Canis lupus familiaris: one gene and its partners. The protein of the gene in region 1 interacts with the protein of each later gene in a biochemical or structural test. Links are inferred from orthologs where the notes say so. Each region holds a gene or a part of one and is shown on either strand. Other genes may lie near its edges. The genes, in order: NUP214, NXF1 and DDX19B.

Region 1 (10,048 bases):
TCATTTTCTAGATTAAAGTATGGGTTTAAAAAAAAGTCCTTAGCTATAGAATCATAGATCCTTGCGATAGAAGGGACTTCAAGAAATTATTTCATAACATCTGCCCCAAGGTGTTTTTTCTCCTTTATATATGAGACAGCCAAAGCCCAGGTGGCTTGCCCAAGGCTGTAAAGTTAACAGTAATGTCAGAAATTCCTACATCCCAGGTCTTTGACCTCCTCTGGAGTATTCTTCCATTCCAAGCAGTTTCGTAACGATAATTGTCAATAATTTGAGTATTTTTTTTTTAAGATTTTATTTTTGTTTATGAGAGAGAGAGAAAGAGGGAAGGAGCAGGAGAGGGACAAATGGTCTCTGAGCTGAGAGCCTGACATGTGGACTGATCTCAGGACCCTGAGATCATGACCTGAGCTAAAACCAAGTCAGACACTTAACTGAGCCACCCAGTTGCCCCAATTTGAGTATTTATACTGTGTGCCCAGCTCTGTACTGATGCTTTATATGCCTTGTCCTTATTCGTATATACCACGGCCTCACAAAGTAGGTGCTGTTGTCTTCATTTTATAAATGAAGAAACAGGCCCAAAGAATTTAAACGTTCAAGAACCCAACACTATTAAGCAGAGCCAAGATTTTAATCTAGTATTTGCTCTTTACCTATTATTTTGCATTTGTGTATTCCCTTGCTGAGAGTCCCTCAGTGTGCTAGAATAATTGACTGCTGTTTTCCAAAGTTGTGTTGAAATTGTCTGTAACAAATATACTGTTGTGTAAAGCTCTTTTTTTTTTTTTTTTTTTGGTCATGGCCATGGAGAAAAGTGAAGTAATTTAAGAATACATATTCAATAATTTTCTTTGACTGTTAAATGTCTATGTATTTATTAATTTATCAATTTATTTTTGCTTCTGGGCATTTGTTTTAAAAGGCTAAACAGCAAAAACGCCCATTTGCCTATCATAAGCTTTTGAAAGATGCAGGAGGCATGGTGATCGATATGAAGTGGAACCCCACTGTTCCCTCCATGATGGCAGTTTGTCTGGCCGATGGCAGCATTGCTGTCCTACAAATCACAGAAACAGTGAAAGTGTGTGCGACTCTCCCTTCCACAGTGGCAGTAACATCTGGTGGGTAATAAAGGCTTTCACTCTGTAACATACAGTGATGGTAATCTCCTTAAAAATTAATTTCCTGAAATAAATGCAAATGGGGTTTTTTGTTGTATCTGTTGTTGTTTGGTAGAAGCAGAAAGTGTTCTTTATTTCCATAATGTTTGATACCAAACAGCAGAGTTGATTTAACTTGAATGTGCTTAGGGTTTTTGGAGAAAGAAATATTTTGGTACAGATGGTTTAGAAATGTGTTTTTGAGAATGACTGTTTCTGGACCCAAAGGGGTGGTGTGGATGGTACACTGGAAGTCATTTTTACCTCTGCGGGAAGAGCATTATAAATCTTGGATAGGAGTAAGAGAATGATTTCTTGATACTTGAAAACCTCTATTCTCCTTACCTAAAGATAACAGAGTTTTTGTATTTTCCAGCTTTCTGGACAACACTCTATTGAAAACAGATTTTTTTTTTTTAATATTTTATTTATTTATTTAGGATAGTCACAGAGAGAGAGAGAGAGAGAGAGAGGCAGAGACACAGGCAGAGGGAGAAGCAGGCTCCATGCACTGGGAGCCTGACGTGGGATTCGATCCCGGGTCTCCAGGATCGCGCCCTGGGCCAAAGGCAGGCGCCAAACCGCTGCGCCACCCAGGGATCCCGAAAACAGATTTTTAGCAGTTGATTTAATGGTCCAGTGATAAGTCGTAATTGGTTTGTATCAACAAAAGGAATTTTTTTGGACTTTTGCCAAATAAGGATGATCCTCCTGTCTCCCATGGACTGACAGAGGAACAGGAAGTGGTGGTTATATGGCTGTTTCAGTACAGACCTCTATGGTTTGCTCCATTCTCTTCAGTTCTTAATTGGCAGCATTTTCTTCTTTGCTCAGTGTGCTGGAGCCCCAAAGGAAAGCAGCTGGCAGTGGGGAAGCAGAATGGAACTGTGGTCCAGTATCTTCCTGTAAGTGTTGCCTTGGACTTCAGCACTTTTCTTAAGTTATGTACTGTTTTTGGGATGGTTTGGGAGCTCATTAGGGTTTTTTCTGTTAAAATGTAATTCATGCTCACTGCAACAAATTCATCAGTAAACTAGTGAATGCAGGAAAGGGTGGAACTCTTCCCTTTCTATCCCATAGTCCTTCTAGAGGCTCTCTCTGTGTTTTATTTAGTGGCAGCCTCTAGACATTTCTGGATGCTTATACAAATAGTGTATAGATGCATTACATGTCTACCATACACGCTGGTCATATTCTACGCAGTGTTATCTAAACATTCCATCAAAACAGTTAAGGCATAGCATTATTTGGTAGCCGAGTCCATCTGAAAGATTCAGTTTCTTCAACTCTAGGCACCCGAGACAATGGATGCCCCTGTCACTCTGTCATCCTCTCCCTGGGGTCTTCCTGATATCATCACAGGTATTATTCAATATAAATTGACATAGAATCCATATATGTTACATCAGGCATGGATGGGAAGGAGGGTTCCACAGGCAGTTCTGAGGCCTGTGTTGCTGTCCATTCTTCCTTGAGAGACTGTTCTTGGGTGTAAAGCAGAGAATGTAGTTTATGGGTTTGAGGTGAAGCTTTTATTTCTTGTTATTACAGAAAGTTGTTATATGAGATTTGGTACATACTCTTAGGGCGGTAGCCTCTAAAAAGATAACTGGCTTAATTTTATTGGTTTGCTCTTTGCCTTTTTTGTCTTAAACATAATACTTTATCAAGGTCCTTTTCCCCAACATATTATATATGGAGCCATTCTTTTGAATGACTGCGTAGTAGTCCATGGTGTGGATGTACCATGATTTACTTCTCTATTCCGTTATTGGTGGTTGTCTGTGTCAGTGTGTGTGGCTTTGCTAGTATAAATGGTATAAGCTTGAGCATCTCCTTTCTACGCCCGAACATATTTGTGGGAGATTTCAGTAGGATGGGGTCCTGGATGGAGTCATTCACTATTCCCTGTGTTCATTTCTTTCCTGGCTGGGAAGATGAAGCACAGTGGTTTCTGGGGGGAACATACTGGATTTGACAGAGTTTCATTGGTTTAAGTTTGTTTCATTTGACCATTTGATACTCCCCCCCCCCCCCCCCCGCCCGCCCCATCTCTTTCAGACTCTGCAGGAAAAAAAAGTCATTCCTTGCCCACCATTTTATGAGTCAGATCATCCTGTCAGAGGTAACCCATTTGCTTTTCTTATGCTAGGTCCACCTCTAATGAGGTGACACAGTATTTGCAGAAATTTCACATCATGTGATGCAGCTGCACACTCAGGGAAGTGTTAATGCCTCCTGCATGAACACTCTCATTATTATAGTTGGCTAATTAAGTCAGCATAACAATAATCCTCTGGTAGACACCTGTGTCTCATGGTAAATAATAGTAAATGGGTCCTGATATTTTATTAGAATCCTTTCAAAATTTGCCATCCTTTTATTCTGCCAGGAAAAAAAAAATGCCACTTTGGGATGATTTGGGGCTTCTTGAATTCTTTGTATTTGTGAATTATATTCAGTCAGTGAAATCTGGACCTTTTAGAACTATAGCACTCGGTCTCTTTTATCCATGGGCTGATAATTTTTTGAACATATGGGGGCTATTCCAAACATAAGATGCTTTATTAAAGTGTGTGTATTTCAGTTCTGGATGTGCTGTGGATCGGTACTTATGTCTTCACAATTGTGTATGCTGCTGCGGATGGGACCTTGGAAACTTCTCCAGATGTGGTGATGGCTCTCCTCCCGGTATGTGTGTGAAAGGGACATCTTTGGCAGCCCCGTGTGGCTCAGTGGTTTAGCGCCGCCTTCAGCCCAGGGTGTGATCCTGGAGGCCCAGGATCGAGTCCCACGTCAGGCTCCCTGCATGGAACCTGGCTTTTGCCTCTGCCTGTGTCTCTGCCTCTCTCTCTCTCTCTCTCTCTCTCTGTCATAAATAAATAAAATCTTTAAAAAAAAAAAAGAAAGAAAGAAAAGGACATCTTTATCCTTTGGGAATCATAGAGGTCTTCTAATAAAGTTCTAGGGTTAGGCTTTAGTTTCCTTTTTTTGCTGGCAGGGATGGTACAACTTCAAGCGTAAAACTTGAATGCTGTCCCGTTGCCTGAGGGCCAAAATTACAGTGTTCCTGACAAAGTTGAATTTTAAAAATATGTTTTTGAGGTCCTTATTTTAAGAACTTAAGATTTTCTATTCCCAGAGATCAGATTAGCTTTGGCATTTATTGACTCCTTCTTAGGTTCCATGTTCTGGGCTAAACTCTTCATATGTATCATTTTGTTCCACGCTTAAGACAGAGTGTGGAGTAAGTTCATCAGGCCCACCACAGACCCTAGAAAAATTATCAGAGAAGTGAGCAGTCCATCCATGCCTGTTCCATGGCCAGAAAGTGAAAAAACAGTTTGAATCCAGTTCAGTTAGTGGCCACGGCTCATATTCCTTGTATTACTCAACTCTGTCTTTATAGGATGTCTATATATTTGGACAGAGTTTTTTTTTTTTTTTTTTTTTTTTTTTTTTAATATTCATGAGAAAGAGAGAGGCAGAGACATAGACAGAGGGAGAAGCAGGCTCCTTGCAAGGAGCTCGATGCGGGACTCGATCCTGGACCTCAGGATCATGCCCTGAGCCGAAGGCAGATGCTAAACTGATGAGCCACCCAGGTGTCCCTGGACAGGGATTTTTGAGTGAATTTTCTCATAAAGTGTAAATGGTTTTAGTTTTTGAGATTCTTTAACTGTGTAGAATTAAAGAAAAATTGCATGTGGGATTTTTTTTCTCCTTTTGTTTATTGTAGAAAAAAGAAGAAAAACACCCAGAGATATTTGTGAACTTTATGGAGCCCTGCTATGGCAGCTGCACGGAGAGGCAGCACCATTACTACCTCAGTTACATTGAAGAATGGTGAGCTGAGAACCCAGAATGGATTCCTTCTCTCTCTGTCGGGTCCTACCTGCATTGCTTTGTTCCCACTTTGAGATTCTTTTCTGTAGGGAAGGAGAATAGAGAATTTATGCCCTTGAACATATTTTCCTCTGAGGCTGGATAATGCCTCTGACTACTTCTGTTTCCCCAATCTTAAATTATCTGGATTGAATACTTACTAATCTTAAAAACCCCATTTTCTCAATAACCCCAGTGATGACTTATGACAATATGATATTTAAGGAATGTATTAAATGTGTCCCTTTGAGAGCAAAAACTTCCCCTTGAAAGATAGATAGCTTGAAGCAAAGCTTCTGTCCACGATTTCACCAGATCTTTCTGTTTACAGGGCAGTAGACTTAATGGAAATTCTGACTGGATTTTGTCATGTCTCTGACCTTTGTCAGAAATACATAAGGAGTTGGCTGAGTCTCCAGGGCTTTATCCTAATGAACTAAGAAGTTAAACTTTACATCTAAAATCTTCTCACCTTTCTTCAGCCATGTAGAAGACCTCACCTTCCTCCTTGACATCACACGGAAGTCCTCATGGACGCCACCGCAGGCTCAAGTTGGGTTAGAATTGTTGCTACGTTTGAATTTAACAGTCTCCTGCTTTTGTTCTTTCAAGGGATTTAGTGCTGGCAGCATCTGCAGCTTCAACAGAAGTCAGTATCCTTGCTCGACAGACAGATCAGGTAAATTTCACTCTTCGGTCACTTTTATGTGACACTTTTCTGAGAAAGATTCTTGGAGGAGTTAACTATGTGGTGAAAGTTTAGATGAAGCCACATCCTTTTGAATGAGTTTCTGGATGAGAGCAAAGCTGACACTTGGCTGATGTGACGGAGTGCCTTGGGCCATGTGGCTTGGATTTTGCATGGGACAGATGTGGGTTTCAAACTCAGCAGCTCCCCCACTGTCTTAAAAAGCTCTTCTGTCCTTTCAGGATCCACTCACGATCTGTGGAAGCATAGATATAATCAGCTTCCCACAGGAGCACACCTGGGTGTGTAGGAGGATTTTCTGCCTTGTTCTGTTTCACCACCTTTATTTACTTCCTGTTGCTTGAACCTGCCCCTTCCGTTCAGTTACCTCTAACCCATCCTTGACTAATGGAGAGAAACATGCAGACCATATCAAATTGCGACTCACCAGCAATACTTTCTATTTCACTTTGAAAAACCACCCAAGAGCTAAAAGCACTCATGTGTGTAAGCACCCACCTCCCTTCTTGCGCTCTGTCCTTGCAGACAAGAATTGGGCTGAGGTGATTGTGGTAACCCATCCTCAACCAAGGTAGGTTATGTACAGTGACCACAGAAGGACGTGATAAAAGGGAAACTTTTTTTTTTTTTTTTTTTTTTTTAAGATTTATTAGAGCAAGAAAGAGTGTGCACAGAGGGAGAGAAAAACTCAGGCAGACTGGGCTGAGCACAGAGCCTGACACAGGGCTCTATCCCACAATCCCAAGATCACAACCTGAGCTGAAACTGAGAGGCAGTTTTAACTCTTACCACCCAGGTGCCCCAGGAAACTTTTCTGCTTAAAACTCTGCCTTGAGTTTAAAAATGTTGTATGCGCCCCACACACAGAGACTTAGACCTCTCCAATCATTCAGTATTTATCCCTCATTCTCTGGGTGGCAGGGTGGTCCACTATAAGTACATGGCTCTCATAGTATCTAGGATGAGCGCTTTGGGGTCACAGGCCAGAGTTAGTCTGATGTGAAGCCTTAGATTGTCTTTAAGAGCAATTTCCTATGAGCACAGCTATCTTATGTACTGACACGTTTAAAATGTACTTGTATTTTTGTTTTTTATCAGGATAATTTATGTACATGACTAAAAAATGACGTAGTGGAAAGGATTTATAAAAGAAAAAAAAAAGATTACCCCTGCCTACTCCATCCTTATCCAGCCCTGGTTAGAGGGGAACTTTTTTAACTTGTAAATTTTTGCTTTTAAAGATTACCTCCTTATCCCTAAATAATCTTAAGGGCACCTGGGTGGCTCAGTTGGGTAAACGTCTGACTGAATTTTGGCTCACATTGTGATCTCAGGGTTGGAGATCGAGTCCTGTGTCAGGCTCTGCACTGGGCATGGAGTCTGCTTAAGATTCTCTCTCACTTTGCCCCTCCCGACCTCTAAAAACAAATAATAATCTGCTTCATCACTAGTTAACGATTATTTGTTTTAGACCTTAGGTGTTGTGGTAGATAACAATATAGCTTACATATGGCCCTCAAATCCTCCTTTCCCTTCAACGGGGTTACAGCACTGTTGTAGTTTCTTCTGCTGGTTACCTTTGTAACTGTAAGTAATACTTTTAATCTTCCATTTCTTAGTTATCACTATACCCAGTATCTCTTGACTCTCTACTTTGTGAGAGGAATACCTTCTCTCCCACTCTCGCCTTTAGCATACCTTCCCCGCTCCCACCTCACTGCTGTTCTCATCTGTAGCTTGTCTTTTGCAGAATCAAAACTGGTACTGTTGTATTCTGTTCTGTAGTAATTATTAAGTTTTCTTTATTTTGTCTATAGATTGTTTTTCTTTTTTTTAATATTTTATTTTATTTACTCATGAGAGATACAGAGCGAGAGAAAGAGAGAGAGGCAGAGAGAGAAGCAGGCTCCATGCAGGGAGCCCGACGTGGGATTCGATCCCGGGTCTCCAGGATCATGCCGTGGGCTGCAGGCGGCGCTAAACCGCTGTGCCAGCAAGGCTGTCCTATAGATTGTTTTTCAAACTTGATATCAACTTTATTTACATTATTATGAATGCAATTATTATTCACACCATAGCTAAGTCATGGAGTATGATTACATTCCCTTTCCTGAAGGGCTTTTTGTTTTCTCTCTGTTATTCATAGAGCATTATTTCCTTTTGAGTTGTGCTGCCCAGTTTTGGTCAACACTGAAAGTTAGACAAATGTGTGGTTTTTAAAAATCAGATCATAGGGATGCCTGGGTGGATCAGCAGTTGAACGTCTGCCTTCGGCTCAGGGCGTGATCCCAGGATCAAGTCCCATATGAGTGCTTCTTGCAAGGATCCTGCTTCTCCCTCTGCCTGTGTCTCTGCACCTCTCTCTGTGTCTCTCAGAGTGAATAAATAAAATCTTTAAAAAAAAATCAAATCATGTATTGGCAGGAATATAGCCCATTCAAGCACAGACATAAGCAGAAGAGTTTATTGGAAAGACTCAGTGGTTTCTCAAGAACCCTGAAGGCAGGAAGGGCCCCATGGGAGGAACAGATGCCAAGATCTGGGAGGATAAGAACTAAGGGTAATTCTGTCCATTAACAAGTGGGCATAGGGCATCTGGCCAGCCCTACAAGCCACATTGCTCAAGACCACAGTAGCAATCAACTGGAGTTCCTTGTGCCAATCCCACATTTCCAGGAGCAGCTAATAACTGTTTGGTGCAGGTATTAGATTTATCCACCACGTTTAGGAATGTACCTAGTTGGGGTAGACAGTACTTGGGAAAGTGTTCACGATAGTGGTTATTCACAAGGCAGGTACTTGGTATACCAGTAACACATGGGTTAATTTGGAAAATTAACCCCTCACTTGCTAGGATGCCCGTTGCTTTTAGACCATCTTTCCAAATTTCAGAGTCTGGTCAACACATAAATCTAAACCAAGTGAATTGTCTTCTCTCCTTTTTGAAATATGGGAGGACCATTGCAAAGCTCTAACCAACATAGCTTTTTCATCTTTACTTCTTTTTTCCAGATTAATTGGGAATCTTGGCTCCTAGAGGATTCCAGTCGAGCTGAACTGCCTGTGACAGACAAGAGTGATGACTCGCTGCCTGTGGGAGTTGCCATAGACTATACTAATCAAGTGGAAATCACCCTCAGTAAGTGTGGCCTGATGTAGCTCAGTGCAAAAGTGGTCGTGGTTGATATTGAAATCCTGTTCTGCGTGTTCATGACAGAATCTACTCTGCGGGGCACTTAACTCCTGGTAGTGCATTGCTACTTGAAGAATGATACAGAGTGCATTGTGACGCCACTAGATTAACTTGATTGACATTCATTGATAAGACAAAAGCCAGACTCTGTGCGTGTGTGTGTGTGCGTGCCTGTGTGTGTGCGCACCCGTGTGTACACTCACGCATGCCTATCTCTGTGTGCTTTCATGTATAGGTGAAATCTAGAACAGAAGGGTCTCATTGCCTTGTTTCTCCAAGCATTCCAGTTTCCCAGCGGCCTCCCACAGAAACAGCACCCTAGTTCAGTACTGCGTAACAGTGCTTGGTTTAAAGACACAGATCAGAGAATGGGGACCTCAAGCACTTGGCTTCCAGGGCAGGCCTGAATTTGTGCTATGAATGGGTCTTCTCTCTTGGAGCGAGATAGGGCTGCAGTCTGTGAGATGCACCAGTATAGTGGAACTCATGCCCTATGCTCTTTGGTACTTCAATTTAGAGAGGTGTCATTGTTGAGCACCACTAAGTTCCTTCCTGTCCTTTCCCTGGTAAGATTATTTGGTCTCCTTAGTTCATTTATTCTGAGTCTCTTCAAGTCCTAATTGACAAAATACATCTTAGGATTGAACTGTGAATGAATATAAAGTAGTTTGACTTACCTTTCTACGTCCTGTGTATTTTCCAAAGTGTGTAGTCTGTCACTTTTCTGCTAGGCCAGCCCCCTCCTAGAGACACCTGTCTTGGGACATCATGAACCCTGAGACACTCGTCAAAGTCTCAGGAGCTCAGGGACAGTCACAGCTGCCATAGGACTACTGGAACTTCCCTGCAGGGTCTGGCATGATGGTAGCCACTGAGAATGGCAGTAGTTCTCTTTCAAGAGCCAGTGCTCTCGAGGCTGTTCAGATATGAATCAGAGCAAACAGTCTTGAGCTACTGTTGGGGCAAGTCTACTATAGCCTTCTTGCTTAGAATAGTCTTTGCCTTCGGGACTTGGTTCATTTTTCACTTGTGCTTATTTTCTTAACAGATGATGAGAAAACTCTTCCTCCTGCTCCAGTTCTTATGTTACTTTCAACA
Region 2 (10,048 bases), on another chromosome or scaffold:
GCAGTGCGACTAGCAGCCGCACGGAACACAAGCCCCCAGGTGCCCCCATGGCCCGTGCGGCTACGGCGCCGCTTCCGGGGTAGGACTTCCGGCTGGAAAGCCCCGCCCCTGAGCTTCCGGGCAATTGGCCCTGGTTAGTCCCTGGCGGCAACAGGGTGGGGGCCCTTCACCCCAGACCCGCGCGCGTGCTCGGCAAGAGCGAGGCAAAAACAATGTAGCAAGCAGGACACAAAATACAATATCACTCTTTATCTTAAAAAGTAGGGCAGGTTTGGGGGTTAAGTACACAGAGCACCTAAGTCCTTCGGGGAGTTTAGTGTCAGTTCTACAAAGTAAGCTTTGGCTTCCTGGCACCAGTGAGGCTCAATCTTCTGGAAGGCTTCCAGAAGTCTTCCAGAAGGCAGGTGAGGAGAGGGATCCAGCAGCCCTTCCTCTTGAGTCACAGTCACGGGGTGGCCTCGGGGCCAGAGAGGAGACGACAGCCATGACAAGGAGACATCAATATCCAAGGGCTATTTTACAGGGAGCTTCTTCTGGGGCAGGACTACAGATCACTTCATAAACGCCACTTCTGGGATCTCGCCCTTGGCCTTAGAAAAAAAGAAAAGGTCAGATCCAGGCCCTCTCCCCCATTCCCTCCCCTGGCTTGACCTCTTAAGGCCCAGAGATCCCTCGCCTTTTTGCTACTGAAGTCCCCAAACTTACCTTGAGATGAGTAAAGGCCTGGGCAGATCTGGTGTAGTCCCAGTTGTTGTCTTGAAGGCACCTGGAGTGGTGGAAGAGCAGGAACCCCCCATCAGAACCAGAATAACGCACTCACCCTGACCACTTCAAAATCCACCCTATTAACCCCCACCATATGTGCCAACAATTCTATACACTCTTGCACTATGTGTTACAAATGAAAAATTAGTAAAAATCCAAATGTCTATCACTGGTCTATTGGATACAAAGAAGTATTAAATAATGGATCAAGATTACTAAGGTAATTTTTATAGTGATAGGGAAAGACAATAATGGGATAAGCAAAAAAAGTAACTTGTAGAACAGTATTAAAAACAGTAGGGCAGCCCGGGTTGCTCAGTGGTTTAATGCCACCACCTTCAGCCCAGGGTGTGATCCTGGAGACCTGGGATCGAGTCCCCTACATCTAGCTCCCTGCATGGAGCCTGCTTCTCCCTCCTGCCTCTCTCTCTGTGTCTCTTATGAATAAAAATCTTAAAAAAAAAAAAAATACAAAAAGTTTGTTATGCTGATGTAGGCATAGGCCAAAATTTTTTATGGGCCATATTTATAAATTTTGGCTTTTAAAATTTAAGCAGCACTTTTTTTTTTTTTTTTAGGTTTTTTTTTTTTTTTTTTAGGATTTGATTTATTTAATCATGAAAAACACACACACAGAGAAAGAGAGAGAGGCAGAGACACAGGCAGAGGGAGTAGTAGCAGGCTCCATGCAGGGAGCCCAATGCGGGACGGACTCTATCCCGGGACTCCAGGATCACCACTGAGCCACCCAGGGATCCCCCAAGGAGCACTCCTTACTCATTCCCACCCCTACCTCCATTTACCCCTATTCTTACACATGCCCAGCACTTACTTCTGGGACCATTCAAGATTCATGCCAGACTGGGTAGAGAATGCCTGCAGCATTTCCTGCTGCTCTGGGGACAGGGTGGGCACTGGACTGGAGGAAGGTGTAGGTGCAGGCATGGCGAAGGCTCTCTGGATCTCATCAGCGCTGGCATTCCGCACAAATAGCTCGTCATTTACGATGCACAGTCTTTGGGACAAAAAGCACTTTAAACAGCTGGACAGCCAGCCAACCTCATCTTCCCAAAATTACTCCTGTTCTCACACTTGACAGATTTTTTTCAATATCCCCAAAGTCCTCCTGCCCATTCTTGGTCATTGCCTTTTATCATTTATGCCCCTTCCCACAGAACCTGAGTATAGGGTTAGCTGCCAAACATTAGAATTACACATTTCCTCCAATTCAGGACAGTTCTTCTCCCCATTTATCTTCACAACAGACCAAGGAAGTAGTTAGTAGGTAGCTTATACTAGTTTCTAGATGAGGAAACTTGCCAGGATGAAAAATCCAGACAATCTGGCTCCAGAGCTAAGCTCACCACCACTGTGACAGCCTCCTCTTGATTCCCCCTCAGCTTTCTGAAATTCTGAAAACATCCTGAGGACTGGCTCCCCTACGCCTCCCCCACCAACTCCCATTTGCTGGCCATGGATTGGGACTGGGAACCCATGTGGAAAGCCAAACACTTACCCTGAATTGCTGGCAGGAACAGCGACAAATGTCCGGGTGAAGGCTCGTAAAGAATCCCGAGACTTTCCATCCACTGCAATGTCAACAACGGCAAAGACCCCTTAGAATCAGCTACGCCATGTTTACAAAAAGCTTCTCCAATCATGGTCTTACTTGATACAACTAAACTGAAGTAGACTAGACTGATGATTATGAGCATCCAGGGGAGCAGAGGGGAAGAGGAGTGTCAGAGGCCAGGGAGGACAACCACCACCACAGTTAGCCCGCCAGGAGTATTAGTGAGCCAGCTCCTGTGTCAGGCACTTCACTGGCTCCCCACAGCACCCTATGACATGGCTATCACTAACCCCCTTTTACAAATCAAGAATTTGAGACTCAGAGATAACATAAGTTGCCCACATGGGACCAAGGCTGGAATAGAAACTCACTACTGCCTGACCCCAAAGTCTGTGTCCTCATCCTCAGACTTGTCCCATTTCCCAGACAGAAAAGACAGGTGGAGATGGTAGGCCTCATGGAGATGGCCTGGGCAGAACAGGAGGAGCTCAGGAAGGAGAAGGAAGGGAATGGAGAGTGCTGAGAACAAAACTAGCTGCGGGAGGGCCCACTCTGCACACCCCAAACTCCAAAGATTCTCACCTTCTTTGAAGACCCCGTTGACAGAAAAACACAGCAACGTACTCTGAAAGAGAAGAGGCGCTGGTCAGCACACAGGCTCCAGCCCGAGCCTGAGGTCCCCATGCCTTGTACCTGCCCCTTCACCCAGTTCAGGCTTCTGTAGCAGCAGAAACAGGTGCTTACGGTCTGGGCGCTTATGTCTACCACGAAGGAATTGACGTCATGCTGAGTTTTGGGCAACTCATTGAGGAAGGCCACCACGTTGAGACGTGTGTGCTTCAGCAGCCGGAACCGCAGGGCTGTGCGAGAGGAGAATTCAAGATTAGCAGCTACCACAGTCTCCTGGACCCTGTGACCAAGTCCCATCTGCCCCCCTTCCCATGCTGCCCTGCCCCCTTCACATCACACACTTACTCGGGTCTTTGAGCTTCTTCACATTCCTGCTATCCTTGAAGTACTCGGCCAGATTGCTTCTAGAGGAATAAGCGGAGAAAGGCAGGGCTCAGAGCAGTAGGAGTGCTGGCGGGCGCTTGCCTGCAGCTGCTGAGAGATGCTGGTCCTGGGCAGGCTCTGGGCAGGGATACTCACCGGGCAGGGTTCTGGGGGGTGAAGGGAATGCTGAGGGAGCAGCAGGCCCCATCGTGGTAGGCATCTAGTAGCCGCTGCCGGTCTCCAGAGTCGTAAACTGCATAGTACCTGTGGAGAAAACAAAAGGGAAAGCCTGAGCCCCGTGGTGTGGAGGGGAACCTGACTGCTCCCGAGGGTCAGCTGTGCTGGGGCTAGCTAGCCCTCCTCTCCCAGCCTCAGGGGCCCTGCAATACTCACTGCTGCAGGAAGTGCAGGACCAGGTTCTTCAGGGTCTCTGTCCCAAAATAGCTTCCCTGGAATCACACAGGTTATCAGGACCACGTCACTCTTATTTACCTGACACAACACAAGTTCAAACTCTATCCCCCCTTCTTACCTTGCAGGGCGGTAACATCGTGGGGGCTTCGACATCAAAGGCAATTGGCGGGGGTAACTCATGGCCATCCTGGGGAAAGTGGAAATCGACAGCATAACCAGAGAGAAAAGGCTTGAGAAGTAATGAGACGGGCGAACCAGGAATGAGGAGTCAGAGATCAAAGTGTCTAGGAGACGTGGAAAAGGCTCAGGGACCCTAAGAGATGTGACTCTTGTCTACTGGTCTTTTTCTAAGGATTATAGCTTTTGCCAGATTCTCAAAGGGCTCCAGGTCTCCAAGTTAACGGTCCTACAAACCCACGTGAGCAAAGACCTTTTGGGAGGGAGAGCCTATGGTCATTAAAAAGAACTGAAAAAGTTATGGACTTACCAGGCGTAATAATTTGGGAAATCGTTCTCGAATGGCGCTGTCAAAAACGGGACAGAAGTGAGTGATGCTTCAGAGCCACCGTGCCTCCTGAGCTGCTCTAGGAGCAAATACTCCAACACCCAAGGGATTAGCCACCCCGTCCTGCTTGTCCTCTCACTCCTCCCCAGCCTCTGAGCTCTGGGGAAAGAGGCCCCACTCCCCACTTCACCCGGGGCACCCAGAAACAACCGCCTTGAAGGCAGACGCTCTTCTTGCTGCCTGACCCGAGCGCCACAAGAGCAGCACTCCCAGCCCAGGCTTTAAGCCAGGACCTCCTTCCCCTCCCTGCCCCCCTTACCTTCCACCTACTCACCTGTGCAGCCCCGGGAGGAGGGAATGGGGTGGGAGCCCAGGGGCTCCGCTGCCTCAACAGGTATCCATCAGTTCTGCCCAGCCTGGCCATAGCCAAGACCAGAACACACCACAGGGATGGCACAGGATGTTGGGGCAGGGAAATGAGCAAGGTAGGGGGTCAGGAAGAGGTGAAGGAAGAAGATGGAGAAGGAGAAGAAGAGAAAGAGAGAAGGGAGGATGGGGCCAAGGCCAGGGAGAGATGGGGACACAGAGGAGGGGAGAGAGTAAAAAGAAAGAAAGCAAAGGCCAAAGGAGGCCTTAGGAAAAACAAGGAAGAAAAAAGGGAAGAGGACACCCGACACAGCCTTTTCCTTCAGCTGCCCCTTCTTTCCCTGGTCCAAGGTACAGACGGGAAACAAATTCTCGCTGCGGCCGGAGGGCAGTTGCTGTTGGCCAGGTCTCTGTCTGCTACCTGGGTCCCAATCTGAGCTGGGCGTGGGATGTGAAGCAGCCATGGGGGCAGGAGACCTCCCTCAGGAGGGGTGAGGGTTCAGGCCCCTGCAGAGTTGGGGGGGTGAGGGTCTGTGCCCCACCTCTGTTGGCCCCCAAGTTCTCTCCTGATGGCCCCTCTGCGACTGTGCCTGTCTTAGGTTGTTCCTTCCCTGAGGAATCTTACCCGTCTCTGGCTAACCAGCCATCCTCCGGGGCCAAGCAGGGTGACGTGAGGTGTGCGAGTGAGGGCGGGGCAGCGCCCCCAAGAGGGTCAGTGCTCTGTCTCCTCCGCAGTCTATGCCCCCGTGGCCTCCACGCCCAGCACCTGCCTTGGGCTTCCCTCGCCTGCCGGCGGGGCCCCAGCTCTGCTCACACAGCTTGGGGAACCCAGGTTTCTTCTCCAGGGAGGGCCCAGCTCACACAGCTCCAGGCAAGAGAGACAGAATGCATGGCACCAGCTCCGAGGAGGCCTCAACCTCAGCATGAGGGAGAAAGCCCAGGCAACGGTGGCCTTGGGCACGTGGACCGTGAGAAGAGAGTCCCTCTTGGCCAAACGGCAAGAGGGGCTAGCGCAGAACAAAGAAGGAAAGGCCCATCAACAGGAAGTCCCAGGGCAGAAAGGCTTTCTCAGCCCTGGGACAGCAGGCTCTTGCATAAGGCAGCTCCATGTATGGGGCAGATGACAGATACCCCATGGTCATGCCACAAAGCAGGAGATGCCCTTCCTGGAACAGGAGAGTAGGGAGACTCTAGAAAAGGCTGTGTTTGGGAAGAGGAAAGACCACAGAACAGCAAACAGGTAGTCAGGTGAGAAGGAAGGTAAGGAGACCTCGGGGCCAAACTGGGACACACAGACAGACGAAGGGAGGAGCATGTGATCCTCCCAAAGGACAGGTGGTTCCAGCTCAGGGCTGCACATCTCCTGCAGACGGGCACTGGTCAGGGTACATTAGCTCAGCCTCCCAGGGGGTGAAGGTCCCCAGGAGGGGAGACAGAGGCTACAACTGACCTGATGTAGGTGGACTGATCTCGGAAGGTGTCGCACAGCGGGTTTCCGTCAAGCCACAGCTCTTCCAGCTTCAGCCCTTTTACCTTGTCCAGTTCCCTCTCAGATTTCAACTGCGGAGAGGAGGGCAGAGAGAGTGGGCAGGAGACCCCAATGAGGGAGCCGAGCCAGTGAGATCCCCACACCGTGCCTTCTGCTGTCAGCAGGCGAGCCCTCTGCACCCTCTACTCACCGCCCCACACAACATAACCAGACCCTCAGGTCTCACCTCATTTCCGGAGAGGTTGAGGATCTTCAGGTTGGGTGCTTTCTGCACAAGGCTGGACATGTCATCCAGCCTGTAGAGCCTATTGTTGCTCAAGTTCAAGGACAAGAGCTACAGGCAGAGAAAGGATTAGAGGAAGCACTGCCAACAAAGGATTCGGAGACACATCTGCCTCCTAGCCCCATTCTACCTGTCCCACTCTGCCTCCTCCCATCTCTAAGCAGGACAAAAGCCTCACCTCAGGGATATTCTCCTCAATGATTCGCAGCGTAGCCGCCATACAGCTCCTGCGATTCAGGACAACATCGATGTTCTGGGCCACCAAGTCTTCAGGCAGCATAAAGGAAAGAGAGGAAGTCTGAGAGGACTTTCCCACGTCAGAGTTCATACCAAACTATTCTCAAACTTTCCCCGCCCGACAGACCCCCCTCTGCCTCCACCTCTCTGAGAATGACCGCTGCTAGTCATACCTGGGTCTGAACGGAGACCCTTGAGGTCAAGTGCTTGTTGGGAACCATCGTATCGTTTGCTCATGATCAGCTACAGGAGAAGGAAAAGGGGTCAGCGGTCACTCGGGTTGTGCAGAGGGGTTGTGGATGTGAGAACTGGTGGAACTAGAGAGGAGACACATGACGTGAGCCTGCCTCACCTTTAGTTGCTCTACTTGTTCTGGCTTCAGTTCGTTCTGTACAGAATGGGGTGGGACAGAGGAGTTGATGATGATAGATATCTGCAGGGAAGACACAGAGAGCAAGGTGAATTCTGGGAAAGCCTAAGCCACAGGACCACGACCCAACTCCAGCCAAGCCAGGCCCTTTACACACACCCTTCGGTTTTCCTGATCCAAAATCTTATAGTTGACAGCTTTCAATGCAGAGGCGGTACTGGCATCCTCCACAAAAAACTGGGCCCGTGTGTTTTCATAGTGAAACTGCACAAAGAGGAAGAAACAAGAGCATGAGACTGGGAGCCTGGGGCCCCTGGTCCAGCTGGCCCCTCACCTTCCTTGGTGCCCAGTCAGCCACCTGGGCCTTATCTCACCTCAATGGGGGTGAAAGGGACACTGCACTTGCTCTGAATCACACTCAGGAGCCATGACTTGTCATATTTTCTCCCATAGGGAATCTAGATGAGAGAGAAGGAATATCATGTAATAAAGGCTGACCAACAGACTCAACCTAGTGCTCCTTTCACACCTTCTGCCAACTTCTATGACATTTCCTAAAGGAAGGGCCAGTTAAAAGTTTTTTTTTTTTTTACTCAAGTCAGACACAGATTCCTTACCTTCCTTTCTGCCCATTTAAACTTAGTATTTTTCAAGAAAATAGAACTATGTGGTTCCTTTTTTAAATTTAAGATTTCATTTATTTATTTATTTAACACAGAGAGAGAGAGAGAGAGAGAGAGAGAGCGCGCGCGCTCAATCAGGGGGAGGGGCAGGCAGAGTGAGAGGGAGAAGCAGGCTCCCTGCTGGGGTTTGATCCGAAGACCCTTGGATCATGACCTGAGATGAAGGCAGATGCTTAACCGACTGAGCCACCCAGGTTCCCCAAACTATTTGGTTCTAAAAGTTCTTAGATATGATTTAGACCTGGCCCACCCCTCAGAGAACTTAAGGGACCCCAAGCCCCATACTGGGCTTGAGCCAGATAGAGACATTTGGATGGGTTACTCCACCTCCCAACCAGTTAGCACATTTCCATTTATTTATTTACTTATTTATTTATTTACTTATTTATAATATTTTACTTATTTATTAGAGACACAGGCAGAGGGAGAAGCAGGCTCCATGCAGGGAAGCCGACGTGGGACTCGATCCCGGGTCTCCAGGATCACACCCTGGGCTGAAGGCGGCGCTAAACCGCTGGGCCACCCAGGCTGCCCCCCACATTTCCCTTTAGATGGTGTCCCCATCCCCCTCATCCTGCTTATCCCCCCTCTAACTCCTTTTCTGAACCTGCTCTTAGGTGTTCTAGGAGAAAGGCTGGACACCCGACTGTGGAGAAAACAGTGAAGATTGATTTTGTTGTGTGAAAAGTAAAGACCTACACGCTGAGCCCAGCCCCCTATCTCCCTTGCACCATCTACTTCCCCAGACACTCAGTGTAATCTCTTTTTAGGGGGAGGGGGGAGGGGAGAGGGAATGGGAGAGGAGGAGGGAGGAAGAGAAAGAATAGGAATCTCAAGCTGGCTCCATGCCCAGCACAGAGGTGACGTGGGGCTTGATCTCATGACCTTGAGATCATGACCTGAGATGAAATCAAGTGTAGGACAGACACTAAACTGACTGAGCCACCCAGGCACCCCAGACACTCACTGTAATCTTAAACCAGTTCTTCGAGGTCCCATCCTGGCTGGTGCCAGCCCCTCCTCTCTCTGGAAGAATTCTGTCTCTCCGCACAGTAACATGAATGCGATCTCGATCATGCCAACTGTCACCTCGACGGTTGGGTCGGGGAGGATAGGGGTTGCTGTGGGGAAGCAGAGAATAAAATGTCCGCAAACACTAGGAATGTCTTCTCAAAGGCTTCCCACACTGTTGTCAGGATTATAGCTAAAACTATTTAACCATTAAACTGGCCCTGACATCCCTCACTTTTCCAGGTGAGAAGGGAAATGGTGTGGGCAGCAGAAAGCTATATAAATAAATCTGGTTTGAGCTCTCAAACCAGATCAATTGGTCGCTTACTGTCGTATTCGGGGAACATCCTGGGCATCACTCATTGCCACATCTCTGTCATCTTCCTCCAGGCGGGAAGACCGAATGCCAGAACCTCCTCTTCCAGACCTCCGGTTCCCCTCGCCATACTTCCACCGGAAAGGACCCCGGCCTTTCTTTCTTCTTTGAGGGAAACTAACACGGTCATCATGCTCTGGGGTTAAAAAGGACATCCATTAGAAACATGCTGTCAGCCCAGCTACCCTGCTGTGGGAATCACAGTAGCAAGCAGCCTGTGCTATCAAATGAGATACACACCAACTACAGAGCCCACCTCCATGCAAACTTCTGTCTGTTGAGAGGAGAACCCTCTCTGTGGCATGGCAGCAGGAGCGAAACATCACTGGAAGACAGGGCAGGGCTTTAGAAAAAGGACTCAGGAACTGGAACTTACAGACCGGGAAAGGCACAATGTGGAAGTGTGAGTAGAATATGGACCCAGTGTGGAACTAGACCCCTGAAAAGTCACCTGAAATCTGCTTGCTCTTAGTTTCCCAAATCTATTTAAGCCTTCTCAAAACTTGGATGGTGACCTCGCTCAACATCTCCTAAATCAACCAATCACGACGATCACATCAGCTCTCAGTAAACAAAGCTTCCCTTGCGCAGAGTACAAGCGTCAGTTACAAATAAAATTAAGGGCTTCTTTAAAATTCTTGTTCTCAAACTGCCACTCTGAACTTTTGGGAATGAGCTGTTTATTTCCTTGGCAAAAAATGCTTTTTTAACTTAGGAGACAACTCCTAAGATTCAGGTTCTAGTGGCAACTAGGGAGCTTAGCCAAGGGTCCTGGACTGCTCCCCTGGAACATGACCCTCTGAATCCTGGGGTGTAAGAATAGCATCTTACAAAAAGGTCCCTGACTCCCCAAACGCCTCATGCCTAGTGTTCTGCAAACAATGAACCTTAAGAAATGACGGGGGGCGGGGGGGAGGGCAAAAAACAAAACAAAACACCACAACTGAATATAAGGCGCAGCAAACATTCACTGAGAACTTTCT
Region 3 (9,542 bases), on another chromosome or scaffold:
TGTCTTAGGGAACCATTTGGAAGTAAATTGCAGACACTGTGGATCTTTACTCCTAAATACTTTACCATGGCTCAGTCAGTTAAGCATCTGACGACCCTTGATTTCAGCTCAGGTCTTTTTTTTTTTTTTTTTTTTTAAGATTTTATTTATTCATGACAGAGAGAGAGAGAGAGGCAGAGACACAGGTAGAGAGAGAGGGAGAGAAGCAGGCTCCATGCAGGGAGCCTGACGCGGGACTCAATCCCAGGTCTCCAGGATCACACCCCAAGCCGAAGGCAGCACCAAACCGCTGGGCCACCAGGGCTGCCCTAAGCTCAGGTCTTCATCTCAGGGCCTTGAGTTCAAGCCCTGCATTGGTCGTCTCCACAATGGGCATGGAGCCTACTTAAACAATTTTAAAAATTAATTTTTTTTTTAATTAAAAAAGATACACAGAGAAAGATACACAGATACACAGAGAGAGAAAGAGGCAGAAACACAGGCAGAGGGAGAAGCAGGCCCCATGCAGGGAGCCCGATGTAGGACTCAATCCCAGGACTCCAGGATCAGGCCCTGGACCAAAGGCATCACCAAACTGCTGAGCCACCTGGGCTGCCCCCCGCCCCAAACTTTTTTTAATAAATACTTTAGCATGCATCTTGTAAGGACATCCTTCAACATAACCCACAAAATCCTTATCACAGCCAAGAAAATTAACAGATTCTCTAATAACTAGTATCCATTTTTATTTTTCCCCCATAGTCCCAAAAGTCCCATACTATTTATGGCTGTTTTTGAACCAACAACAAATTGGTGTGTATGCAATGCATTTGGTATTGTCTTTAAATTTAGAATAGTTCCGGGGATCCCTGTGTGGTTCAGCAGTTTAGCGCCTGCCTTCGACCCAGGGTGTAATCCAGGAATCCAGGATCGAGTCCCATGTCAGGCTCCCTGTGTGGAGCCTGCTTCTCCCTCTGCCTGTGTCTCTGCCTCTCTCTCTCTGTTTCTCATGAATAAATAAATAAAATCTTTAAAAAAAAAATTAGAATAGTTCCTTCACCTTCTCTTCTCCCTAGTACATTTGACTTTAATTAAACAGGCCAAATCAGGGCAGCCCGGGTGGCTCAGTGGTTTAGCGCCGCCTTCAGCCCTGGGCGTGATCCTGGAGACCTGGGATCGAGTCCACATTGGGCACGCTGGATGGAGCCTGCTTCTCCCTCTGCCTGTGTCTCTGCCTCTCTGTGTGTGTGTCTCATGAATAAATTAAAAATCTTAAAAAAAAAAAAAGATTTAAACAGGCCAAATCAGTTGCTTATTAAATGCTACACATTCTGAATTTAATTGCCTAATTTCTTTTTAATGTTAATTAGAACAAAAATGTTCTAGAATATTCATGATAATTCTGGCATCTAATTTTTTAAAATTATAATTAACATACAGTGTTTTATTAATGTTAGCTATACAGTGATTCAGCAGTTCTATATTTTTCTCAATTCTCATCAAAATAAGTGTAATAAATGTAAAGAATAATCATCTTTATTTCACCCCACCCAACCTACCTCCCCTCTGGCAGACATGTTTGTTCTCTGTATTTAAGATTTTGCCTAGGGATCCCTGGGTGGTGCAGCGGTTTAGCGCCTGCCTTTGGCCCAGGGCGCGATCCTGGAGACCCGGGATCGAATCCCACGTCGGCCTCCCGGTGCATGGAGCCTGCTTCTCCCTCTGCCTATGTCTCTGCCTCTCTCTCTCTCTCTGTGTGACTATCATAAATAAATAAAAATTAAAAAAAAAGATTTTGCCTGTTTTTTTTTTGAAGCTTATTTGTATTATTCTTTTCTCTTTATTCACCTTTCCTACTTCTGTTTTGCAACAAATTAACAATATTTAAAAAGTGTTGTTGAGAGTTTGGCTATGAATGTTTTAACACAAACCTGTAACTATGACTCTCAGAAATCCACTCAGCATATAATGTCCTAATACCAACTTGAAGTTGCTTCTAAAAAGTAAGATTATAAAACTTAGTGGAAGATGATCATAAGACATTTAAAATTTTGCAGTTTCGGTTGAAGTTAGAATGCAACTTTTGTGGAAGGCAGTAATTGGATTAACAGAAGCAGCAGCATTTATTGGCTTTGAACTGACTCAACATTTATATTTGGGCAAACTTTTGGCAGTGATTACAGGGAGCTTGTATATGTCAGGTCAAGGTTGTAATGAAAGGACTTAAATTCAATGTATAAGTGCCATGTAATTAAAAATGAAAAGCCAAATCTCAGCTTCAGACTGTACATGGTCAAGAATGTGCCATAGCTTGCCAGGCCTTGTCTAGGGAAGCACTTCATCTAGGAGAGGTAGTAGGTGTTTCTTGGAGAAAGCAAAGCCATTCATGATGAATCCTATTTTCTGACCTGGGCAGGGAGTACATAAAGGCAACCGACTAGTTTGATGTAGATACTAAGGTAGCTGAGGGGCAGAGTGCACTGGAAAGAGCAGTGGAAGTCTGTTTGTGAGGAAGTGCAATCCTGGGCTGGGGGAATGCTGTTGCCAGAGAAGAAATAAAGGTAACGACAGATCTGAATGAAGGAGAACTGGAGGACTACAGAGAATGGACAAGAACGCTACTGAAGAGACTTTCATCTTGTCACTGTTTTTATCCTTATTTTGTCTTTACAGCATTATTAAATACTATAGTGATATAACCTTTCCTTAAGATATTAATGCAAACATCAAACAATTGCATTAAAATACATCATGCCTTTAGGTTTTCTCAGAGAGGAAAGCTGAACTTACCATGGAAATACCCACAGAAAACGTCTTGTCTCCACAGTGGAAAGAGGTCAGAAGATCAGTGAGCACATTGTCATTGGCACCCCTGGGACTGTTCTGGACTGGTGCTCCAAGCTCAAGTTCATTGACCCCAAGAAGATCAAGGTGTTTGTTCTGGATGAGGCTGACGTGATGATAGCTACTCAGGGCCACCAAGATCAGAGCATCCGCATCCAGAGGTAGGAACTCTTGAGCCAAGAGGAACTTCTCAGCTTCCTGATCTGCAGCATCTTCTCCTTTTACTTCAAACACTCTTCTTGCTCCTGTTAGCTTCTTTACTTTTGTACTTCCAGAAGCGTTTGTTTGATGGGCCATATCCTCGTCAGCATTGACCACGGGTTGAGGAAGGAGATTTAGGGAATCTTAACACCAGCCCTGTCCCTGCCCCATGGCTGCTCTCGCCTCCTCCCTGCTGTTCTCCTCCCCCTTCTGCCACTCTCCTGGGCATGTGGATCACCCAAGCCCGGGGCAGCTGTCTTCTGTTCCTTCCAGGGAAAGACTCGGGATCATGCCACATACCTGGGTCTTCCCTTGCAGGATGCTGCCCAAGGACTGCCAGATGCTGCTTTTCTCTGCCACCTTCGAAGACTCTGTATGGAAATTTGCCCAGAAAGTGGTCCCAGATCCAAACATTATCAAACTCAAGCGTGAGGAGGAGACACTGGACACCATCAAGCAGTATTACGTCCTGTGCAATAACAGAGATGAGAAGTTCCAGGCCCTGTGTAACCTCTACGGGGCCATCACCATTGCTCAGGCCATGATCTTCTGCCATGTGAGTAGCAGTGGCAGCAGCAGGCCTGGTGGGGGAGGAGCTGCCCTGGAGGAGGTGCCTGCCCCTCCTCACAGCCAGCTCCAACTAGGTGCTGAGGGAGGACCAGGGGCTCGGTGTGGCCTGGTGTGGCCGGAAAGGAAATGAATCACCTCCACCTGCCCCAGGGAATATTCTCCTCAGACTGTAATAAGTTAGGGAAAGATTGTGAAGAACTATACTTTCTTTGGTTGGTCCCACTTCTTAGAGATTACTTGGGAAAAACTCTAAATAACATCCAATGAAATAATTATAAAACATTAAGAATATAGACTATTTGGGAATGAAGATCTTTGGATCACACCACTCTTCCTTGCTGAATGCTAAGATGATTTAAGTAATTCATCCAAAAAAAATTTTCACTTGGCTAAAATTATTTGTGAAATTGGTAAGCCTATCCTGTTGACTGAACTCAGCAGGTCTTCATGTATTTTAATGGCAACAAGCCACTTTTTTGCAGGTACCTTTTTTTTTTTTTTTAACAGGTATCTTCATTTAAAACCATTCTGTTCACTCCAGACCCGCAAAACAGCTAGCTGGCTGGCAGCAGAGCTCTCAAAAGAAGGCCACCAGGTGGCCCTGCTGAGTGGCGAAATGATGGTGGAGCAGAGGGCTGCGGTGATTGAGCGCTTCCGAGAGGGCAAGGAGAAGGTGCTGGTGACCACCAACGTGTGTGCCCGCGGTGAGCAGAGAATCTGTCCGCCAGGCCCTGGGTAGCAAGGGAAGTCCTCCTGTATGGGGCGCTCTGCTGGTTCGGGGCGAGTCCACATGGGCTTGGTGCTGGCATTCTTTCCTGGGAGAGACTGGATTCCCCCAGCAGATGAGAATTGTCACAGAAGCCAGGGGCCCTGATGTGGTGGAAGGACAGGGACAGGCACCTCACTGGTCCAGAATGGCACCTTCTCTTTGGGGCCCCCAGTGAGGTTCTGGCTGCATTACTGATGTCCTAATTCTGTTGGCACCCTGCCAAAGTTGTCTTTCCCTCTGGATTCTGCTAGGTGCCCCTTGGCCCCAAATCCCAGAGCCAACCTGCCCCAGACTCTTCTTCCACATGAAGCTGGTGTATGTTGGCCTTGCTTGGCTGGTGGTGATTTTGTCTCCCTTCCTGACCTCTCCACCTCTTTCATGCAGGTATTGATGTCGAGCAGGTTTCTGTCGTCATCAACTTTGACCTTCCCGTGGACAAGGACGGGAACCCGGACAACGAGACCTACCTGCACAGGATCGGGCGCACAGGCCGCTTTGGCAAGAGGGGCCTGGCAGTGAACATGGTTGACAGCAAGCACAGCATGAACATCCTCAACAGAATCCAGGAGCATTTTAGTGAGTGCCTGGGAGTGTCTCTGCTGGTGCCCTCTCCTTACAGGGGCGAGTCCAAGGGAGGGGGTGAAGGGTAGATTCTCCTGTGGCCCCAAGAAAGGCCTTTGTCCCCAACACAGTCCCCTCCTTCCCTACAATAGGGAAGTCCTCCAAGAGCACACCTGGTGAGTTTTCAGGGTCAGGGATGCAAATGACAGTTCCCCCTTGGCCAGCCTCAGGGGCCTGGGGCTCTGTCCCTTGCTCGGGCACTGGGAGTCTTTGGGCTTAAGTGAAAGGTCGCTGTGGCCAGAGGCATGGCCCATCCCTAGGCAGGGCAGAACCCTGTTTCCTCTCCCTGTGCCATGCTGTCCCTTCCCTAGGGGTGGGTCTCTGTGGTAGCCCCATGTTGATTTCTCTTTGAATTCTCATCTTCCTCCCCAGATAAGAAAATAGAAAGATTGGACACAGATGATTTGGACGAGATTGAGAAGATAGCCAACTGAGAAGCTCCACCAGTCACCAGTGCCCACGCCTGGCACTCACTCCACCTGCACGGAAGACTAGTGCTTTCACGGCACAGGCCTCGACAGTTACCACAAAGAGGAGGCAGAGGAGAGAGAAACTACCTACCTCATTTTAAATTACGTTTGGACTAGACAAAAATTGTGCAAATGATGGGGGGAGGTAGAAAAAAATTGTTTATACAACTTTTGAAGATTAGGCGTGAATACACAGAAATTTACCTTTTGGAAATTCCATCTTCTTTTTGGCCATTTCCCCCACCTTTAAGCTGTAGCTAATTAATCACTTGCTCAAGATGCTTGTGGCAGCCCTTGCCACCGCCCAGCCAGAGGGCCACAAGTGTTCAGAATAGCCTCTAGACAGAAGAGAGGTGAAGACAGACAGAAGCCCTAACTGGGATAGGTGTGTAAGCCAGCCATCACGTTTGGAGTATGGGATGAGGCCTGTGAGCTGGTGTTTTGGATTTAGGGTGGGGCAGCGCATCTGAGTGTTGTCAGCTCCACAGTAGAAGGGATTTGCTAACCATGAGCCAAATTGCCACCCTGGGACTTTTGGTGCTTGCAGGTTTGTGTTGCAGGACCATGACCTGGTTTTCATCAGCAGGGCAATGTATGTATAGTGCACATCTGATTATCAGTGGATCCCTTGCCTGTGCTTAAAGCCTGTGGAGAAGTCTTCATGGAGAGTTAAGTGGTGGCCCTCACTTACCATACAACCTGGGCTCACAGGCACTTGCAGCATCTTCTTTATAATCCCTAATGTCACCCTTGCCCCTTAGCCTCAATCAAATAAAAGGTGATCTAAGGTTTGGATCCTCAGTGAAAACTGTGGCTTCAAGTCATTCACAGACAGCCTGAAGGCAACTCCAGAAGTGAATCAGCAGTAGTCACAAATACTTGCTTTGTCTCCAGATCCCAGAAGGCAACATTTGTCAGAGCTGGGGTATCATTTCAGGTATTTGATGTCTTGGTTGTAAAGTGATTTTGAATATGTGTTCACATTTCTTGGAATACACATAGCGCAATAAGGAACTAAGACTATGGCCATTCACCTGCACAAAGCGGGAGTCAATGCCAAGGACTTGGCTCCCTCCTTACTGGGCATCTTTGTGCAGAATAGTCAGAACAAATGTTAGTAATGAACGCTTCCTCTTACCTGGCTAAGGCTGATGGTATCCACAGAGTTACAGAGCAAAGATGAGATGAAACCCCAGCAACATGAAGTCTTCTCTATCTCTTTGACCTTGATACAGAACGGGTACTTTGTCTAGGCCCAGGCCTGGAAGAGGGATTTTATGTCATTCTAATCCCAGACTATCCTTATAAGCATTTCCATGTTTTAGGGCCAGACTGGTTTCCTAGGCAGGGAAGGGATCCATGCCAGCCTCCAAGTGGTTTCCTTAATCTGACATTAAATACAGAGAGACCAAAAACTGCCACTCCTGCCACATTTCCCCAGTGGCCATTCATAGTCTTTTCTGATTCTGGCCAACTCTGACCCACCTTGGGAGTCTTATAAAAAGAGAAGAAATTCTGTCTCCCACCCCCTGCTGGGCTGTGGACCAACCCTGAAATAACTAAAACAAAGGCAGGAATTAAAGGAGTATAGACTCCTTACAGGCTACAGGCTGACTACATTCCCTTCTTCCTGACAACTGCATAGCCTTAAATCTAAGCAGCTAGGGGATGGGGCGGGGATGATGGAAGTACCAGTACATATTTTGTGAATCTTTACAACTATACTGTTCTATCTTTACCCATGTTTCCACCATCCTTGGAATTCTCCTAATAGGAGAAAAGCCAAGTACCCTTAGGTAGCTTATCCCTGAGAACACACGACCATATGCTTAGATTTGAAAGACCATGAGTCAGCCCTGGTCAGGTGTCCTAGGAGGGTTGTCCTCTGGTCTGTGTTCCTCAGACACCAAAGCTTCTAATTTGCACAAGAAATGTCCTGATAAACCAATGCCAATTGAGTACAAGTTTAACAACAGAATAGGTCCCAGTGTTTTGGCACTGCTTTAATTTCTAAAACAAATAAGGTTATGCTAGAGGGACAAATAATGTTCTATTCATCTGATTTCATACTTAATGCACATGGAGGGGACAACTTCAGAAACAGCTGCAGTACCTTGAGCCTCATAGTTCATTAGTCCTATCCTAACCCACAGCATGGAGCCCAATGTAGGGCTTGAACTAACAACCCTGAGATCAAAATCTGACACCAAAAGTCAGACACTTAACTAAACTAAGCCATGCAGGTGCCCCTCATTATTCTTTTCTGGTTAACTCTTCCACTCTGACCAGTGACCATTTTAAGACTTTCACTCACCTCAAACTTCCAACCCCATTATCTCCATACTTGGAGTCAACAATCAACACAAGGACACTCCCCCAAGCACACCTACCCTTCCTTTGCCCTCCTGTTACAACAGGAGAAGTCCCTACTATCTAAATTTCTCTATAAATGCACCCTCTCCTGTGGCTGTTTAAGGACTTGCTCCATCTACTCCATCTCATATTTTCAACCTCTCCCACCCCACTAGCGGGTTCCCCATCAATTTTCCCTCGTATGTGTGTAGCAGTATAATACACATAACGAAAAATAAAATACAACAAGTTTACCATCTTAACCATTTTTAGGTGTACAGTATATTAAATACATTCATAATGTACAACCACCACCCACCACTATCCATCTCTTGGATCTTGCAAAACTGAAATATACCCAAGGAGAGGGGTAAGGATGGGGTGGTGGAGAGGTGGACTCCCCACTTGGCTTAGAGCCCAACGTAGGGCTTGATCTCATGACCTGAGCCGAAACCAAGAGTCAGATGCTCAATCAACTGCACCACTCAGGGGCCCCAAAAAAACACATTATATTTGACCCCTCAACAGCATTTAACAATATAAACAGTCCCTTCCTCTAACCATTCTTCTGATAACTGAAGTGACACACCACACTCATTGGTCTTCCTTTACTCTGGCCATTGTGAGTGTTCCTCATAGCTCTGTTTTGGGTCATTTCTTCTTCTTTCTCTACTGTGGGGAATCTTGTTCATTCCTCTGGCTTTCTTTCTGCTGACAATTCCAAAATCTATACCAAGACCCAGTTTTTGAGCTCCAGGGTTGTAGAAACAACTGCCCACATGGCACTTGCACTTGGGATGTCTTCAAGGAACCATGTACTCAATATATCCAAAATTGAACCTATCATCTTGTACTACCACCAAACATCACCACTCCAAAAAACTCATGTTCTGCTCTTGGCTTTTCCTTTATCTCATGAAATGGCATTATAATTGTCTGGCCTGAGGCAGAAATCTGGATTCATCAGGAACTTCCTGCTCCCCAACCAATAATCACCAAGTCCTTTTGTATCATCCAATGCTATGTAACACATCACCCCAAAACAATAGGTCAAAACAACTTAGTCTGGTGGCTCTCCTGGTCTCTCCTAGGCTCACTTCCGCAGCTGTATTCCCCTGGCTGTTGTCTGGGCTCAGCTGAAACAGCTGGGTTCCTCCACATGGTCTTCCATCTTCATAATATGGTAGATGGTCTCTGGGTTCTAAAAAAGGAAAGCAGAAGTTCTAAGTTCTCTTGAAGCCTTGGCTTAGAACTCCCCAGTGCACTTCTGTCACATTCTTTTAGTCAAAGCAAATCACTAGGCCAGCGCAGAGATAGTGGGGAAATAAATAGCTTCTGATGGGAGTCGCTTGAAATATCTGTGGCACCACCTTCTATCAGGTTGAACCAAATGAAATGGGACTGTTGGACAGCTGTTGACCTATAAAAGTGGCACTTTCAGGATGTGTTTTACAGAGAAATTTGCTAATGTGTTAACGAATGAAAACATGGAATATGTTTTACACATATTATCCCCAATCACTTTTTCATACAATTTTTTTGTACTCATTATAAACTACTCTTTAGACCTTTGTGGGCCAAATACAAACTTAGTCTGGCTCCTGCCATTATTCTTATTTTCTGAATCCTTACACCATCCCTCTTCCCATTCCCCTCCCGTTGCTTCCTGCACATAGAGGCAACATGAAGGAAAAGGAGTTCCTACAGCAGAGCCACCATCCTATCAGGCCTACTCC

The links.
Region 2: the proteins of NUP214 (region 1) and NXF1 form a complex in vitro, tested with the Homo sapiens proteins (4 studies listed by BioGRID and IntAct). The link is inferred for Canis lupus familiaris from reciprocal best matches to the Homo sapiens genes NUP214 and NXF1.
Region 3: the proteins of NUP214 (region 1) and DDX19B are reported together in a solved structure, tested with the Homo sapiens proteins (2 studies listed by IntAct, with this or other methods). The link is inferred for Canis lupus familiaris from reciprocal best matches to the Homo sapiens genes NUP214 and DDX19B.

The regions. Positions count from the first base shown.
Region 1 is NC_049230.1:53,022,190-53,032,237, reverse strand, and holds part of NUP214 (nuclear pore complex protein Nup214), read left to right. Parts: intron 1-925; coding exon 926-1,124; intron 1,125-1,997; coding exon 1,998-2,068; intron 2,069-2,455; coding exon of another isoform or gene 2,456-2,525; intron 2,526-3,224; coding exon 3,225-3,288; intron 3,289-3,750; coding exon 3,751-3,854; intron 3,855-4,902; coding exon 4,903-5,009; intron 5,010-5,660; coding exon 5,661-5,727; intron 5,728-8,769; coding exon 8,770-8,896; intron 8,897-9,998; coding exon 9,999-10,048. UniProt on the Homo sapiens protein: Part of the nuclear pore complex. Has a critical role in nucleocytoplasmic transport.
Region 2 is NC_049239.1:54,405,158-54,415,205, reverse strand, and holds the end of NXF1 (nuclear RNA export factor 1), read right to left. Parts: intron 9,202-10,048; coding exon 9,018-9,201; intron 8,800-9,017; coding exon 8,646-8,799; intron 7,454-8,645; coding exon 7,370-7,453; intron 7,260-7,369; coding exon 7,155-7,259; intron 7,059-7,154; coding exon 6,978-7,058; intron 6,869-6,977; coding exon 6,799-6,868; intron 6,656-6,798; coding exon 6,567-6,655; intron 6,440-6,566; coding exon 6,332-6,439; intron 6,177-6,331; coding exon 6,067-6,176; intron 4,270-6,066; coding exon 4,233-4,269; intron 3,933-4,232; coding exon 3,864-3,932; intron 3,781-3,863; coding exon 3,725-3,780; intron 3,596-3,724; coding exon 3,488-3,595; intron 3,373-3,487; coding exon 3,314-3,372; intron 3,199-3,313; coding exon 3,083-3,198; intron 2,964-3,082; coding exon 2,921-2,963; intron 2,355-2,920; coding exon 2,282-2,354; intron 1,781-2,281; coding exon 1,598-1,780; intron 930-1,597; exon of another isoform or gene 767-929; coding exon 706-766; exon of another isoform or gene 591-705; and 3 more. Other genes in the region: TMEM223 (transmembrane protein 223), read right to left, coding at 1-49.
Region 3 is NC_049226.1:76,903,804-76,913,345, forward strand, and holds the end of DDX19B (ATP-dependent RNA helicase DDX19B), read left to right. Parts: intron 1-2,806; coding exon 2,807-2,984; intron 2,985-3,342; coding exon 3,343-3,580; intron 3,581-4,135; coding exon 4,136-4,298; intron 4,299-4,747; coding exon 4,748-4,939; intron 4,940-5,356; coding exon 5,357-5,418; 3' UTR 5,419-6,262; downstream 6,263-9,542. UniProt on the Homo sapiens protein: ATP-dependent RNA helicase involved in mRNA export from the nucleus.